Caenorhabditis elegans: one gene and its partner. The protein of the gene in region 2 purifies or fractionates together with the protein of the main gene of each other region. This does not show direct contact. Each region holds a gene or a part of one and is shown on either strand. Other genes may lie near its edges.

Region 1 (7,510 bases), 620 kb from region 2:
GTTTTAAATCTTATTATTTTTGCTATGAGAAGCGAGACAAATAAAAAGTTTTTGGCCATGAGTTCCTCGAGCCCCGTTCCTGAAGTTGTGAGCTTCAAGCCTTGCTCCAGAGGCTTTTTTTTTCATTCTTCACCAATTTCCAAAATTTCAAATGCTATCATATTCTCCTTTTAACGTTGACTTCAAATATATACTTTTCATTTTTCAATTCCAATTGTGAGCGGAGCTACGGCGCTTTCAAGGTTCAGCAGTGCCCGCCCGCCCCCTCTTGCCTCCCCTTTCTCTTGCCTCCTCCCTCTCCACAGAGTCTCCAGTGATGCATGTAGGCTGGCTGTAAATATGGTCTCTAATTACTGTTACAGGATCTCACTTTGAAGGGAGATACAGGCGGGAGATACAGTTCGTTGAAGGGTTGGCTGCCAACACATCGCCACCCCACCAGGGCTGAGCGGCTGGCTGATTTTTTCGGCTGTCGGCTGGCGCCGACAGCCGATTGACTTCAATTTTTCGGCTGTCGGCTGGTGGCACCAGCCGAAAATAGTGAAAATTTCGGCTGTCGGCTGGCGCAGCCAGCCGACTTTTTTTTGTTTTATCTAGGCGGCTCACTGTTAAGCATTAGACCACTATTTTCCTTAGTTTTAAATGGATTATTCCGCATTTACAACCGCACAGTGTGCGGTTGTCTCCCCCCTTCTTCCCACAGGTCCACAACGCCCCCTGCCGGCAGCACTCTATAGGAGACGATCTCTAATGGTGTCTCCCCTGTCTATGTCTCTGCCGTATATCTCACTGTCTCCCCCTCTCTCTCTCTCTCTCTTTTCTCATGGGAAACGCCGGGTCAGCAGTCTCCGTTACTGCAAATGTTATCAAATTTAAAACATAGAAACGCGAATTTTCTGTAAGAACTGGACGAATTTTCTGTAAAAAACTGGAAAAAAATTTAAAGCTACCAGCCGACAAAAAGCTGGTTCGGCTGTCGGCTGGCGCCGCCAGCCGACTTCTTTTAATTTTTCGGCTGGCGCTACCAGCCGAAAATCGTGAAAATTTCGGCTGTCGGCTGGCTGCGCCGTTTTTACTTCATCAGAAAGAACACATTCTCTTTCCTATTTGTAGGGATAGTGGAAGACAAAAAAAACAATATGGATTTAAAATCAGGGCTTCGCCCCGATTTTAATAAAATATAAGACAAGCGGGCCCTGCGGGCCCGCCAGTTGCAGGGGGTGTAGGGCGAGTCCCCCAGTCGGACGTAGGTTCTCGGCTTCGCCTCGAACCTGCCAGAGGGTTCGTGACAATTGCAGTGAGCCAATGGGAGGAGAGGAGACCCACTCATATTTTGCTTAAAATCGAGCATTTCTATTCGAATCCCGATTACCCAAAAAAAATTTGTCAGTTGGGGGAATCGAGCCAACGAGCAAAATATTCACAGCCATACGCACTAACCACTCGGCCATGCGGGAGAGACCCGGCAGGGAGATGCAGGGAAGGGAAATTTCTGGAGGGAGTCGTTTTTCGATTCCGCTTTCTTCAATAATTACATTTTGAGAAAAGGCGTTCGAAAACCGTTTATTACTGATATGTCAGCGGGAAAACGAATTTTTGAAAATTTTATTACAGGATTGTACTCATTATTGATTTCCCAAAAAGGAGACGTACAGTTGAGGGCTATATCTTGTACACAGACAGATGTATAGAAAAAAAACAAGTTTTGGCCTGAAAATTAATAAAAATAATATCTCTTGGCAGAGTGTTTCTAATGCGACGAAACTTCATCTTCCATCAAATAAAATCAAAAACTATGAATTAAAAATACATTCCGCAAAACTTTAGTGGAAAAAATGTTCAGGAGACGCAGGAAACCACTCCCCCCAGTACTAAATTTTTGAATTATTTTTTTCTTGAAAAATTTTCCCACTGAACTTTTTACAAATTTTATATGTCTCGATGCGTCTTGATGAGACCTACACGTCAATTTTTGGAAAACTAAGAAAACTTGAAAACTGACCGTGTTATGATTGAAAAAGTAGATTCGCGAAAATGAGAAAGTGTGCAAAATGTGGCACTTATTCGCCTTGCTCGGCCGACTCATAAAAGTTTTCTTAATTCTGAGTTGAAAATCGTGTTCAGCGTACTTTTTTACGTGGGGTAGAAAAAAAAAGTATCGAAAAAGATGAAGTAGAACTTGAGATAAAGACGAAAAACTACTTTTTCGGAAAAAAAAATTTTTTTGGCAAAATGGCATTTTTTGGCCTTTTATTTTATCACAACTTTTTGCCTTTTGCACTTATGAACTCAAACTTTTTTTCAAAAAATCCACCTCTCTGAGTAGTATCTTGCACATAAATTTGGAACAAAACCGAGCAAAACCCGAATTTTAATTCAATTAAAACATGGTTTTTGGGGGTAAAAAGAGCAACAAAATTTTTTTTCAAACTGGGGAAAGCCGTCCTGAGCTCAGTTTTGCTCCAAACTTTGTGCAGTTTTTTGCTCCCCCGTGGGGTGAAATATTTCTAGTAAGCTGTCAAATATTATAAAATTCAGTCAAACGGCTCTGGAGTTATTAATGAAAACGAAGTGTGACATTTTTTCGCAAGCCAAAAAAAAACGCGAAAAAACGCGAAAAAGGGGCGGAGTCGCCACACTCGGCATTTATTAGAGGCTGCTTGGCAGAAACCCTCTTAAAAAGTTACAAGAAGGTTTTTCCTTGCGCTTGGAGCGCAAAAGAACAGAAAAAGAGCTATTTAGTCTTAGGGTGCCCAACTGGAATAAAACATTGGAAATCCCAATCCAACCAGCCTAAGGGCCCGAAAAACATACTAGGTACATACTGCCCAACTGGAATAAAATATTGGAGATCCTTATGACACACCGGCGGTATGGCGCGGCTTAAGCCTAAATAGCCACTTTTATCAAAATAAATTTGAGCGAGGCGGTTGTAAACTATTCGTTCTTTAGCAAAAATTAAAAAAAAAACTTTATTTAAATTTAAAAATAAATATCATATGTTATCACACCTTAGAATATCACGCCTTAATTTAGTAATCATTTTAGTTCATAAGTGTGAGAGAAAGAAAAATGGATTAATCATCGGAATTAGATATTATCAGAGTGATTATATTCATCAAAGGTCCCACTTTACTGGAGGGTTAATTTGGTTGATATAAACTTCCTATCTCATGTAAAGAAAGGTTCGAATTATGTACCTATGAATACTGCCGATATTTGAATTCCTGTCTCATGGGAAGAAGGCCTTTCTTGTGGGAAGAACGGAGTTATAAAAAAATATACGTAGGTACAGAATTTGAACTTTTCTTCCCATGAGATAGGAATTTGAATATTGGCATTCTATAACTTCACTAAGAAAAAAAATCTCCAGAGGTTGATCGCAAATATGTAGAGATTGCTCGCATCCCTTCAAATATTACAAAATTTCCAAGTTTCTTAGAAATAATCTTCATTTAGATTACTGAAAAATATCCACAGATTACTTTTGAGTTGCCTGAGAAGTTATTGTAAAACGCAAGGCGAGCTGTTGGTACAGAATTTGAACTTTTCTTCCCATGAGATAGGAATTTGAATAATGGCATTCTATAACTTTACTAAGAAAAAATATCCCCAAAGGTTGCTCGCTTCCCTCCAAATATTACGAAATCTCCAAGTTTCTCAGTAATCTATAGTTTTCATTTAGATTACTGAAAAATACACACAGATTACTTTTGAGTCTGAGAAGTTATTGTAAAACGCAAGACGAGCTCAAATGTATTTTGATAAAAGTGGCTATTTAGGCTTAAGCCGCGCCATACCGCCGGTGTGTCATAAGGATCTCCAATATTTTATTCCAGTTGGGCATCCTAGTTTTTTTTTTCGGGCCCTTAGGCTTAAGTGTGTCATAAGGATTTCCAATATTTTATTCCAGTTGGGCATCCTAGTATGTTTTTCGGGCCCTTAGGCTGGTTGGATTGGGATTTCCAATGTTTTATTCCAGTTGGGCATCCTAAGACTAAATAGCTCTTTTTTTTTTCTTTTGCGCTCCAAGCGCAAGGAAAAACCTTCTTGTAACTTTTTAAGAGGTTAGGCTTAGGCTTAGACATAAGCTGAGGCTCTGGTTCAGGCTTTGGCTTAATCTTAGACTTAAGTTTAGGCTTAAGTTTAGGCTTAACCTTAAGCTTAGGTCTTTTTTTCTGGAAAGGAAAAATTATAACAAATTTCAGGCTATATCAATTCCAGCGGCTAGAATTCACCAAGTGCCACCGTCGTCAATATTTTGGAAAATTACAATTTTAACTTCCTGCCAAAATGCAGTGAAAATCTAACAGTAGATTTGTATGCCTAATTCATATGGTGCTATTAAAAAAATTAAATATATTTTTAGTTGTAAAGAGAACAAAATTCAAGAAAATTTTTAAACATAATTTATTAAACCCGTAGTTTTGTAAACCTGCAAAAATAAAATAAATATGTTGAATCAAGCCTTCTTCCTTTTGACCATTACATATTTATCAACGAGATGATCCTCCAAATTGTAGCTGAAAATTTAAATTTTAAGATATGTAGTTCTCGATAACGCAAACTTACCACTTTTCAGAAACCGCCACACTAATAGAACCTGTATCTTCTTCTTCTTCCCACTCATGAAGCTCATCCCATTCATGATCTTCAAGAGCATCATAAGTGATAGCTTCGTAGGTATCCTCAGTGATAAGTTGATACCAATCAACTGAGTAGAGCTCGGAGTAATACCAATTTTTCTTCTTGGTTGAGCATGGATTAAAATACTTTGCAACTTTTTTCTCGTAAATTTGATGAGGCTTTATCAGATGATATGCTACAATAGGTCTTCCCGCAATTTTAGATGTCATTGTTTCGGCTTCTAGATCCTTTGATTTATTCAGAGATCGATTTTTAAATTGGATATCATTAAATTTCTGTCCATGAACAGAATCTACAGCCGTGCACTGATAATATTTGTCATCGAGTATTTTATGCATTTTTTGAATTCGAAACTTTTCAAAGTAGTTGTCTGGGAAACGGAGCCCCGCTGAAAGTTTTGTATTTTGATATTTTGAAAAAAAAAACACAAATTTTAATTAAAAATAACTCACTAAAAAATGGGGCACCTCGAAAATCGATTCTTTCCAACACCACAACATCCATATCATTATACATTTTTTGGAGCTCGCCGAGCATTTTAACAGCCGCTTCAACCTCCCATCGTTTCTTTTTATTCAGAGAATACTGAACATATGGCTGAATATCTTGACTAAAAACTGTTCGGTCCAGTTCTTCCTGTCGCTTTTTCGAGCATTGTCCTTCTCCGAAATCCATGTGATAAGTTTTCAAAAGAACTAAATTGGTTTCAATGTAGCGCATTTTCATATGACAACCTGCGTTGAAATCGTGATCTTTTTCAATATCCGGGCGGCCATTTTTTCTCCTGAAACATGAAAAATATATAGAGAAAAATATTATAGGATCCTCACCAAAAATACAAATCTTCGTACATACTGACCGCCGGTGACGCTTTTCAAATTTCCATCCTTTTTATACTTCAGTGGCGAAATATTTCGTAATACTTTTTTTTGTTTGTCAACTTTTCCACTCCTCCCCGCGGACGCTTTTACATGACGTTTCGTGAAACTATCAATGACTAATAATGTCATGCAAAAATTCAACTGATTACAAATAAATTGATGTCAAATAGATAAGGTGTCAAACTTTATTCAAATTATTGACATCTCGAGGTTTGATTTAAAATCATATTTTGAGTGACCTAGGGGAACTGCCGAAGTGACAGAAATCACAAAAAAAGTTTATTTTTAATTAATATTTTTTCTGTAACGTTTCCGCAACAGCTGATTACAGTTTTGGCATATTTTATATATGGAACCGGATGTTATTGGTTGCCAAGATTATTTCACAGTTTTGGCGTTTTTCAAACAAATATTCTTGTTGAGCTTATCTGCTGGAGGATTTATAAAAAACATTTCTTCATTTACGATTCTTGCATTTTTCAGGGCAAAAAAAATGCCTGAAACTGGTATCGGCAGTTGCCGAACTCCAAAACTGTTGCCAGCCGGCAATAGCCACAGTTGCCGCAAACAAAAAAAGAATTATTATGAAAATGTTTTTTTCAAGTGTAACTTTTATTTAAACATTCACTACAATTGAAATACTGCAACGATTTATTCAAATTTTTACAAATTTCATTTCCAGCTTGAATGGTCTCCTCCCAGCGCTGTATGGCATCAAATCGGTAGCCGAAAGTTTTCCATGTGGCTCGAATTTATAGCGAAGAAGGAGGTTTCCAAAGATCTAAAAGTACCATGATTATGCAATAAACATAGTTGTGTTTCCTTACTAAATACAATTCTGCTTTTGCCAAAGATTCTCCCAGGCAACTTCTCTTTCCAACTCCGAATGGAATTATTTTCTGTAGAAGCTTCTCATCTTGACTATACCTTTCCGGTTCGAAAACTTGCGGATTTGTAAAATAGGTTTCATTGACATGGAGAGCACTGAGTTGAGCAGTAACAAGAGCTCCAGCATCGACAGGGTGACCGCCTATGTATGTGAATTCTTTGTTGACTTTCCAGAAACTTAAGTTAAGAATTGAGGCATGGCGTTGAATCTCTCCAATCATTGCGTTCAAGTATGGAGTTGATGAACGGTCAGTAAGACTGAGACTTCGAGAACCATTTTCAGTTACGTTCATAAGTTCCTCTCTAGCTTTCACCATAACTTCCGGATGTAGCAAAAGTTGATTGAATCCAGAAGTCAATGTAGTTGTAGTTGTTTCTTGTCCGGTTAACCACAAATCAACTAACATTGTTTTTAAGGTTTCAGTGCTGAAAATAAATACTCGAGTTTGATTTTTTTTTTCTATTTATGGCATTTGATAACTAACTTAAAATCCAGATTCTCTCCTTCTTTCTGCATTTTCAACAGGAAAGCGTCAGTGTAATCTTGGAGATTGTTCTCATCAATCACATATTTTCCAGATTTTATGTCTTCTATTCTTCAAACAAAAAGAATTATTATATGGTTATGGAAAAATGCAAAGACAAACCTTTTGAGCGCTTCTGCAGCTACAAAGTTTTTCGCTATTTCTTGAGCATCCGCCATTTTGTCATAGCGATCCTTGAAGAAAGTTTTCAAAATCCAAACAGGAACGGTAGTATTAAAAGGAGTGATAAGTTTGAAAGATTCATCAATTGTATTTTTAATTCTCAAAAACACATGTTTTGTATCTTCTTCAAATCGTTTGCCAACCAAAATACTGTTGATGACACTTCCAACGGTTAAATCAAAAAATTCGGAGGCTTGTGCTACAGTGACTCCGTTCTTTGCTGATTTATCAATGTCGGAGCATCTGAATGGATATGAACTTAGTAATACTTAGGCAAGTACCTACCTTGCATCAAGTTCTTCCAATATTCTTGTCTCCATGATATCCTTCCCAACCCCCATATTCCGGAAAGTCTGCAGAGAAAATCTCCTCATTTCTTGCCAGTGA
Region 2 (11,022 bases):
TCGCACTACGTTGAGCACACGCCAGGCTACTCATTTCACGCCAAGCTGCGGGACTTCGAACGTGTCGGCCGCTTCAAATAACTACCTTTTGCACACACACAAAAACCACTTTATTTTACTCGTAATGAGAATTTAAAACTGAAAAAAATCTAATAGTAAGCCAATTTATTAAACAAAGTTCTCGATGATTTATCCGAGTCTGCTAAAGTCGCATTCACTGACAAGCATGTAAGAAAGATTGACAAATTGCTGAAAATTACCAAAAATTTTTTAATTAAAAAATCTATATAGTATACCTCACGGAACTTATTCCATTCTTGTTGGCTACAAGTTTCAATGATTTCCTTCTTGAGACAGTCATCCTTTCCAAAATATGTCTTACATGTGTCCTTTTTCAATTGATCAATTTTATTCTGGTCCAGTGTTGAATGAATTCCATTTGGAACCGGGTCTCAGTCATCGAAACATTCAGATTTCTTCGCGTTCAATTTCTCACTACACTTGGCAAAATCCGTGTGTAAGTACACAAGAGCATCGCAATACTTTTCCACAGTCTTCAGCGCTGACTCTCCTTTCTCATTTTGTAAAGAACATGTGAGATTGGCGAAGCATTTCTGCAGAGAATCGCAAGACGTCTTGAATTCGTTCAGCTCATCTTTGTTATTCATATTAAGCTTGTCGATTTTTCCGGTGAACTCAGTCAGGCGCTGAACATCGAACAAGGTTACTTATAAAGTGAATGAATCAAAATCACTTACAAAGCGGCAAAAAAGTTCATCGGGTGTTTCACCAGTGCAGTTGGGTTTGAGATCAGCAGGAGCTCCATGGGCCACTCCTAAGATAATAGTTCCAATGGCGGCAAATTGAAGAAAACTTATCATTTTCTGAAAAAAAAACAAAAAAATCAAGAAATATTTGAAGAACGGAGACGGAAAAAAGTGAAGATTTCTACTGGGCTGAGATCTACTGGAGGTATGAGCGATTGAAAAGACAATGTGGCAACTGTCTTGGATTTTCGAGAAGCTCAAGACAAGTTAAGGGGCTCACACGTTTGTATTAAAATCTCTTCTTTCACTCGTACCATAAACATGCAGAGGGTGGAGCTTTGTGACCCGAATCAACTCCGAGATTACACTGAACGGATGATAGTGAGTTCTTTTTCGTAATTTTTTAGCAATTGTCGGCCAAACGAGTGTTACTGGAGGTAGCAGACAGACATCCCTCCCTGGTGCACATTTTTCTATCAAAGATCGCAGATAGGCAAACTCTATGCAGATCTCAAACTTTCAAACTTTTCTGATCGGCTTGAACAATCATGGGTAGAAGTAGTAGAGCAAACGGAAAATGGAAGTGACTGCAAACTCAGCAGCACCAACAGTTATATGAAAAAACAAACCGTGCGAAATAAGCAGTCCAATTGCGTAGTAATACTTGCAAGTGCGATTCAGTGAGAGTACCAGGAAGTTCTGAACAGAACATATCAGGCAAACAAAATGAATGAGATTCCTAGTAGGGTCGCGATCTTTGAATTTGATTTGGAATCGGATAACACTTTTAAAAAATAGTTTGTGTAGCTTGTACCGAGTTAGATGTTCAACTAGGAAAAAGTCGCTAACATCGCACGCCTGTCTTCGCTGTTCAATTTCCTCGGGATGGCAATTGCTGGAAAAAAGAAATAAAGCAGAAGAAAGCACTTGCTGTATCTTCTGTTCTTAGTGTAATTTTTAGACTTCTCGGGGTCAAACAATTCCGGCATCAACATGTTTATGGTGAATCAAGGGATAGGTTTCAATGTACAAATTTCATTTTGGTGGAACAAATGTGCGATCCACAATCATCAGGAAACTTTTCTCTTTGGTATTCCAGGAACTACGACAGTTGGCAGAATATCATCTTTTAAATCGTTTAAATAGAGCTCACCGTATTGGAAATCTTCATTCTTACTTTTTTCACTTTTATCAACTTTCAATATAAATTTTGTTTCAGAAAATGATAGGATTCCTCAAACTTGTTGTCATTGGCACTGTGTTTTTAGAAGTGGCTAATGCAGCATTTGCGGAGGAAGAAATCCTTGTGTGTACTGAAGAAGAGTCACTTAGGTCACTTTTTTGTGCCATGGTGAGTTGTATTAATCTATGTATCTTATTAATTCGAAATATTTAAATTTAGCGTATTCCCCCTTTTATCAACAAAACTGAACTACTCGACATGAATGACAAAAAGGAGGTAAAAGAATTGAAGGAGGAGTGCCATAACGTACTCAGTTGTTTCAACAAAATCAAATGTTTGGGCAAAAATGGAGATCAAATACCGAAGCTTAGGGTTGTTGGAAAGTATTGCAAAGCATTGGACTACGTACACGATAATTTTGCCGAGTGTAGTGACAAATTGAATGCAAAGAAATCAACATGTTTTGATGACTGGGACCCAATTCCAAACAAAGTTCATTTCGAAAAAGATCCAATAAAAAAAGAGCAGTTAAGAAGTGAGGCTTGCAAGATATATTTTGGAAAAGACGACTGCATGATGAAGGAAATTAAGGCAACATGTGGACAACAAGAATGGGACGCCTTCAGAGTGGTAAAATGCTTTTAGATATTTTCGCTAGAATATCGTTCATTTTCAGCATTTCATTAACATCGCAGGAGGATTTGTCGACACTTGTGACTTCAGCAGATTGAATTAAATTTTATGTGTTCTTTTTTTTAATTAAATGTTTCTGAAGTTCTCTTACCGGCTACTCCTGCATTTTTGTCTTTACTGCAAAATACCACTATTATGCTCCCAAGATGGCCAAATATCCTAATAAAACTTTTCGAACGTTCTTTTAAAAAAAATTTACAGAAAAAGTGGTAATTTTGCCAATTTTCAACGCTATAATATATAATACTCAAAACGTATGTAAACAATAAAATTCGTGGAAATTTATTTGTAATCGACCATATTGCCGGTTGCTAAAAAGTTGCCGAAGTTTTCAGCGTCCGGCAACTTTGGCAATTGCCGAAATTTTTGGGGTTCGGCAACTTCGGCAGTTGCCGAGTTCTTTTTTCTCGGCAACCTCGGCAATTGCCGATATCAATGTCAAACATTTTTAGCTCACAATCAGAAAGAAGCATTCAGAGAGCCTGAAAAATGCTAACATTTCACAGTAAATTTAAAAAAAAACGACCATACTTTCTTTCAAAAGGTTCAAATATACATATAATTTCAACAAAAATATATGTTCGACCAACGTCAAAACCTTGAAACCTGGTTGCCGGTTGCCGAAAATCTCGGATGCCGCACAGCCCCGATGAGCTCTAACGTCTTTTCGATTTCTAATCGCTTCTCTCGGATCTGTTTGGAACCAGGATCCCTTCTTACTCACTTCCGCGATAGATCTTATTTTTATCTGACACGCTAACATATCCACAGTTTTGCATCACATGTCATTTGTCCCAAACATTTTGACCCTGTGGAACTTTAACAGTTGGCGTCAGGGAAAAAGAACCACCGTCAGAAAACTATGTTCTCTCGCAGTGGGATAGGTTCTCTCATTTTTCGATTAGTTTTTCACTATTTTCCCTGTTTTTTAAAAAAACTGTTGAATTATTTTTAATTGCAGAAAATGAGGGGTTTTTTCAAACTTGCTCTGCTCGCATCAGTCCTACTTGCACTCGCTTATGGGGATGATGGATACAATGAAGCAAGTGAGTTGGAGAGAAGAAGAATTAGAGATTGCCCAGAAGTCACTTTTAAAAGAATGGCCGGTTGCGTTTGGGTAAGTTTTTAGAAATAACTAGCCCAGGTGAATAATTGTTTTACAGGAATTTGGAGGATTTTTGAAAAAAGTACTTTTTCTGGATTTAGAGCAGAGGACTCTGGATAAATTTAGAAAATCGTGCGTTTCAATGGCTACATGTTTCGATCTTATCGAGTGTAAAGAAACTGGCAAATTTTCAAGAGGCAAAAGAATCAAGGACTCTTGTGATGTCATGAACTACTTATCCAAAAATTTCGTTCCCTGTCTTAGAAGATTGGAAAAATTGAATCCAGCACCTACGTGCTTCAAGAAGTGGAAACCATTTTATGATTTGAATGAAGTTGGACCTGACACAACCCCAGAGGAAATGGAGGAATTGTGCAAAAATATGCTTGGAAAAGACAATTGCATGAAGGATCTAGTCGGCAGAACTTGTGGAGGAGCCATGTCGCAAGAGTTGGTCGATGTAAGCTTCAGCTTTGTAGTTAGCAGAGAAATTGAATTTTGAAAATTTCAGCGTTTTGAAGAAACATCCGTTTTCAAACAATGCGACGCTGACTAAATTTAGCGGACATTTGAATCCTTCATTTTCTTTGCTAAACAATTAAACAACAGTTATTTCATGCTAAACAACTAACGTTTACATTTGAATAATTTTGAATTTTTTCTCTTGAAATTTATGTTTCAAAAAGTACTGTTTTCAGAGGAAAATTTACTTCAAACTTGTAAAAATTATATGTTACACTAATAAACTTTGAAGTTGTTTTTGAGGACTTTTTTGACGAAACTGTATTTCTTGTAATAAAATGCAATTATAGTGAGTGTACCAGAAATTTCCAATTTTAATTTTTTAATGTAAAATTTCTAGTCTTCACCTAAAAAAGAGTCACTTGTAACAGGAACATAATATTTGAATTACTCTGAGTTAGCAATAAACTATTGCAAAATAAGCAAATTATTCTTGTTTTGGATCTTTACTGCATCATTCTGATGAACAAATATATTTTACACCGCACCAGTGACTGAATGTTTCTGACAATTAATTTTTGGGATGGTCTCTAACATTGCACGCCTGTCTTTTCCGTTCAATCTCATTCGGATGACAATTTCTGGAAAAAGGAAGCAAAAGAAAGCACTTGCTATCTTTTGTTCTTAGTGTAATTTTGAGGTTTCTTGGGGTCAAACAATTCCGGCATCAACATGTTTATGGTGAATCAAGGGATAGGTTTCAATGTACAAATTTCATTTTGGTGGAACAAGTGTGCGATTGACAAGCATCAGAAACTCTTTTTGAGCTATTCCAGGAACAACGACAGTTGGCAGAATATCATCTTTTAAATCGTTTAAATAGAGCTCACCGTATTGGAAATCTTCATTCTTACTTTTTTCACTTTTATCAACTTTCAATATAAATTTTGTTTCAGAAAATGATAGGATTCCTCAAACTTGCCATTATTGGCACTGTGTTCTTGGGAGTGGCCCATAAAGCAGTTGCGACTGGAGCAGAAGACGCTGGTTGTACTGATGGAGAATCACTTAGGGCATTTTCTTGCATCATGGTGAGTAGTCTTTATCTTCAAGCAACTCAATAATTTATTATAAATTCCAAATTCAGGGTCTGTCCGATTTCATCAAAAAAACTGACAACCTCGACATGAATGACAAAAAGGAGCTAAAAGTATTCAAGGATGATTGCCATAACGTAATCAGTTGTTTCAACAAAATCAAATGCTTGGGAACAGATGGAGAGAAAATTCCAGAAATGAAGGTTGTTATAAAGTATTGCAAAGCTATGGACTACGTTCACGATGATTTTGCCGCCTGTAGTGACAAATTGAATGCGAAGAAATCAAAATGTTTTGATGACTGGGATCCAATGCCAGACAAACTCCAAGATGAAACAGATCCAATAAAAGTTGCCAAGTCAAGAAGTGAGACTTGTAAGAGATATTTCGGAAAAGACGACTGCATGATGAAGGAAGTCAAAGAAACATGTGGCCAACAAGAATGGGACTCCTTCCGAAAGGTAAAAGCTTCTAGATAATTTCGCTAAAATATCGTTCATTTTTAGCATTTCATCACCATCGCTGGAGGATTTGTCGACACTACTTGTGACTTCAGCAGATTCAATTAAATAATTTATTTGTTTTTTTTTGCGTTAAATATTTCAGAGTTTCTAAAATTCCTGGCCAAAAACAAATCCCATTTTTGATTTTTGATAAATTTACAAATTTTCCAAACGAGCACAACTTAAAAACTATAAATGTTATCGAGAAAAGTTTAACTGGTGAAGTATTGCTCATAATTGCGCCTACTGGTATTCGGTTGTTTGAGTTTTTTACAAATTTCATGACAAAAAATACAGCGGCCGAAATCTCGTGAGCCCGTTTTTGACAACGTTACTGATTCGACCGTATCTCGAGAACCAAATTTTTTTTCCGGAAATGTTGTTAAATGGAAATAGTCCTCGCCAGCATTTAAACTTGTTTTATCTGACACTACCAGCCTTTTCAATTTATGATCGCTTCCCTTGCTACTTCTCGGAACCAGGCTCCCTTCTTCCGCACTTTCGCAATTGAACGTATTTTTATCTGACTTGTGTACGGTGGACAAATCCACTGTTTCACATCACATGTCATGTTTCCCCAAACATTTTGACCCCGTTTGTAAAGCATTGACAATTGGCGTCCAGGAAAAAGAATGTTAAACCACCGTCAGAAAACTATGTTTTCTGGGATAGGTCGCATCGCTTTTTTTTTATCATTTAACTTTTTTCGGTTTTGAAACAAGTTGTCCATTCCTTATGATTTTCAGAAAATGAGCTTTTTGTTCAAGCTTGCTATACTTGGAGCACTTCTTCTTGCATTTGCGGAAAACCAGGTTCCAAACAATGAAACAAGTATTATCGAGTCGGGAACTGGAACAAATTGCACGGAAGTCACTTTAAAAAAGTTGTTGGCTTGCCTTTATGTAAGATTTTTTGAAATTTCTAGCTCATTGGAATAATCTGTTTACAGCGATTAGGAGAATTCAGTGCAAGATTGTTCTTTGTCGATTTGAAGCAGAAGAGCCTGGAGAAATTTACAAAATCGTGCACTTCCATATTTACAAAATCGTGCACTTCCACACATGTCTTGACCTTGTTGAGTGTGAAAAAGAGCAAGACAACTCCACAGGAAAACAAGTTAGGGAGTCCTGTGAGATCATGAACTTCTTATCCACAGACTTCAATCCCTGTCTTGCAAAGTTGGGAAACTTGAAACCAGTTCCCGAGTGTTTCAAAGAGTGGAAACCATTTTATGATTTGGTATTAAGTGGAGAGGACGAAACCACAGACGAAATGGGGGAACTGTGCAAAAACATGGTTGGAAAAGAAAATTGCGTGAAGAAGTTGGTCAGCGAAACGTGTGGAGAGCCGGAATCCCAGCAGTTGTTTAATGTGAGTTTCAGCGCTGTAGTGTTCCAAAAAATTATTTTTGTTTAATTTCAGAAGTTGAAAGCTACAAGCCAATTCAAACACTGCAACTGAAACCAACACAAAAGCCACGACCCTCAGAACTGTCATACTTTAATTTTATTTTAATTTTGAATTAGTTACTGAAATAAAACTATTCCACCAGTTCAAAAAAATCGGAACTTATATCAACTCTCTTTTTTGTATTGGTCAGGATCAATTGGTCTGGATCTTGGTGATTTAGAGATACATTTGACATTGGGAGAAGTTTGAAGAAAAAGGTTGCTGCGACATGTGGCGTACAAATGAACACATGCCTTTTCACATTTTGTTCTTAATACTAACTGAGAATGAACTTCCTGTTGGTACTGACACTAATTGTGACTATAAGCGTGCAGAGTAACCAAGAGGTAGGTTTTCACACTGAATTATTGAATTTTTTGATTTTTTCTGGATTTTTAAAATTAAATCTATGTTATTTTGAACATGAGTGAGTTGACGGCAATCGTTTTTTTCTTTTTTTGAAAATGGTTTGTTAAAAAAAAACAAGTATTGCAAATTCAGATTGACCCGAAAAATTTTCTGACAAACTTTGGTAAACAAACTAAAAACTATAAAATGTATTCAGAATGCTAGTCTGGATCCTTGCAACGACTTCTATGATTATGTGTGCTCAAATGACACCAGAAGCATCACTAAGCTTAACTTCACAAGTTTATTCGAGGATCGTGAGATACTGGTAGTAGGCTCCCAGCCATTCATATAATAGTACCCAACAATTTTCCAGAATCCGAACATCTCATTTTCGAATAACGGTTCCTACACCACATTAAATCAAATTCTTGAGCCGGATCGCTTAATGAAATGGTATATGACAGTCAAATCATTGGATACGGCCATTGTGGATATGGAATATTTTTTCGAAACGCATTACGAATATATTAAAAAGAAGAACAATTCTGAGAAATTCAGTTTTATGGTGGAGACCCTGAAAAACGTTAATCTGACGGTAAGAAAATCCCGTAAATTTTAAGAATATGTCAAATTTCACGATAAAATATTTTTGCTAGCCCTAGTTTCAAAAAAAGCGAGTGAATTGGATTTTCTTCTAACTCTAAAGAGAAAATGTAATATTTTTTGGAAAGAATTTAGTTTTCTAATAACAATTTGAGAGCGAATTTCACATACTACATTTTCAATATTTTTTATATTCCAGTTGACAAATATTTTCTACAATTCTCTCTACGCCAATATTGAGGTCCTCAACCAGCTTAATCTCCCAGCCTCCGAAGAAAACAAATTTCTTCATCATATCTTCAATATGTTAAAAAATAATACTATCGAGGAGATTTGGAGCAGTTCTTTCTCTGATGAAAGTAAAAAAGAGTTTGACAAAAAAAACTGGAAAATTCAAAAGTATTTTTTGGACTTTTGGATTATAATAATGTCACAATACTAGAGGAAACTAAACTCATTTACGAGACGGAATATTAACGACTCAAAAGTTTATTGCCACCAGAGTAAGTAGAATATTGAAGACCAACTTTTAGAATTTGATTTCAGTGATCTTGACACTGAAATTGCGGAGAAAATCCTCCGTTTAGGAGCCATTGATACCGCGACAAAGTACTTGGCAAAACGAATTCCGGGCTATGAACCGGAGTTTTTGTTCTCAGCTTTTGCGTCGAATACGGAAAATGAAGCGTTTAAGCACAACTCAGCTATTTACAGTGGAATTGTCCCTCGAAATGATTTACAACAACCCATGTTAGCGGTAAGGGAATATTCAACATTAATTTTGATGTTTATGTCAGTCATGGGTGTTAATCCTTTTTGTTGGCTAACGGTTTTTTAAATCTGAAATTCTGACGGCTTGAAAATTGCCGGGAAATACCAAGGCTGTTTCGTATTTTTCCAGATAGCCGACACCTTTTCCGTGCTTGCCCATGAGCTCATGCACTTTGTCTATCCAAGCGGAACAGAGTTACTGACTCCTAATGTTACAAAAGCAGCAAACAAGTGTACACAAGATGAAGTCAAGATGATGGGTGACTCTGATGCCGTGGTGAGCTAGCAAATTTCTACTTTTTTCACATATGTGCTTCACTAAAATTGCCGATTTCAGAAACCAATAGATGGATGGTTCAGTAAAAAGGTCACTCATGAAGATTTAGCAAACATAATGGGATTAAGGATGGTTATGAAGATGGCGGCAAAGAAATCGGTGAATGAAGAGCAGGTAGGATATGTTTTAGCAGGTTTTCTAGATACATTGTTAATAAATTAGGTAGGAACATGCAGACAAAGTTGTCGGACGCTAAAGCTTTCGGCAACCTGCGACCAAGTTCATTGAAAAAAATTGCCCTTTTCTAAAACCCTAGGAATTACCAATTAAACCAGGGGAATTAAAATACGTCAATGTATTTGTTACAAGCACAAGAGTGAAACAAAGCATATTTCATTGATTTGTGTAGATCACCCAATCAGGTACTCATAATTAGAGCTGGTTCCCGGAAAGCATCTCACCGTCAAAAATTACATATTTCAGCTGAAAAATGCGCTTGAGACAATTTTGGGCGGATTATGCATCCAAGGCAAACCAAAAAACTCAATTCTACCACATCATCATCCCTTTGAAATATCCATCAACACTGCAGTTCGCCAGTATCCATTGTTCAGTTCACTCTATGGGTGTCGCCCTGGTGATCGAATGTTTGCTGAAGCGGTACGGAATTTGAGATGAAACAAGAATATACAGTATAACAATTCCTTTCAGGAAAAGTTTTGCAATCCACTGGGCGGCGAGGTGAATTTGGAAGACTATAAAATCAAGAATGATACTGAAGATATTGGTGGATTCTTCAATTATATAATGGATACCGCAAATGCATTTAATTTTTCTATCGAAAATTGAATTTTTGACACCACCATTCAACATTTACATGCAAAATCACGATGATGTTTAAACTATCTTACTTGATGTTTTCCCAGCGTTTCATTGGTTTTTGTATGTTATTTATAACCGTTTTTATGCATTTTTCATCAATTGTATGCTTTTAGTTTATAAGTTTTTTTTCTTAAAAATACACTTTTCAACCAATAAAATAGTCTGTATTGATTCAAAGTATTCAGTTCATCTTTCTACACTTCTACGACTTTAGAGGGTGGTACACTTATTCAAAATGGCCCCGCCACGCTCCACCATGATCTCGCCACTCGCTTCAAAAAAATTTGTTTTTTGATGAATTTATTAGAATTATCTATAAAACATTGGTCTCCTTTTTTTATCAATAACAATTGGTCTGGATCTTGGTGATTTAGAGATACATTTGACATTGGGAGAAGTTTGAAGAACAAGGTTGCTCCGACATGTGGCGTACAAATGAACACATGCCTTTTCACATTTTGCTCCTAATACTAACTGAGAATGAACTTCCTGCTGGTACTGACACTAATTGTGACTATAAGCGTGCAGAGTAGACAAGATGTGAGTTTTTTACATTAAATTACTGAAAATGTTTATTTTTTTGTTTCAAATTTCATAGATTTAACATATAATTTGTTGCTATTCTGACAAACTTTGCTAAACAAACTACAAACTACAAAATGTATTCAGAATGTTAGTTTGGATCCTTGCAACGACTTCTATGATTATGTGTGCACAAATGACACTAGAATTATCACTAAGCTAAACTTCACAAGTTTATTCGAGGATCGAGAGATATTGGTAGTAGGCTTCCTGCCATTCATCCTATAGCACCCAACAGTTTTTCAGAATCCGAACATCTCATTTCCGAATAACGGGACCTACATCACATTAGATCAG

What was found.
Region 1: the proteins of T20D4.10 (region 2) and K09D9.1 fractionate together in Caenorhabditis elegans (co-fractionation; one large-scale study listed by BioGRID). This does not show direct contact.

Annotation. Positions count from the first base shown.
Region 1 is NC_003283.11:4,023,094-4,030,603, reverse strand, and holds K09D9.1 (DUF4130 domain-containing protein), read right to left. Parts: upstream 5,558-7,510; 5' UTR 5,501-5,557; coding exon 5,478-5,500; intron 5,432-5,477; coding exon 5,100-5,431; intron 5,036-5,099; coding exon 4,573-5,035; intron 4,524-4,572; coding exon 4,463-4,523; 3' UTR 4,392-4,462; downstream 1-4,391. Other genes in the region: cyp-35A3 (CYtochrome P450 family), read right to left, coding at 6,184-6,309, 6,356-6,842, 6,902-7,012, 7,064-7,366, 7,409-7,510.
Region 2 is NC_003283.11:3,395,086-3,406,107, forward strand, and holds T20D4.10 (T20D4.11-like domain-containing protein), read left to right. Parts: upstream 1-5,166; 5' UTR 5,167-5,169; coding exon 5,170-5,301; intron 5,302-5,357; coding exon 5,358-5,768; intron 5,769-5,813; coding exon 5,814-5,876; 3' UTR 5,877-5,978; downstream 5,979-11,022. Other genes in the region: T20D4.12 (T20D4.11-like domain-containing protein), read left to right, coding at 1,990-2,118, 2,170-2,580, 2,627-2,686; T20D4.11 (T20D4.11-like domain-containing protein), read left to right, coding at 3,608-3,760, 3,807-4,208, 4,260-4,304.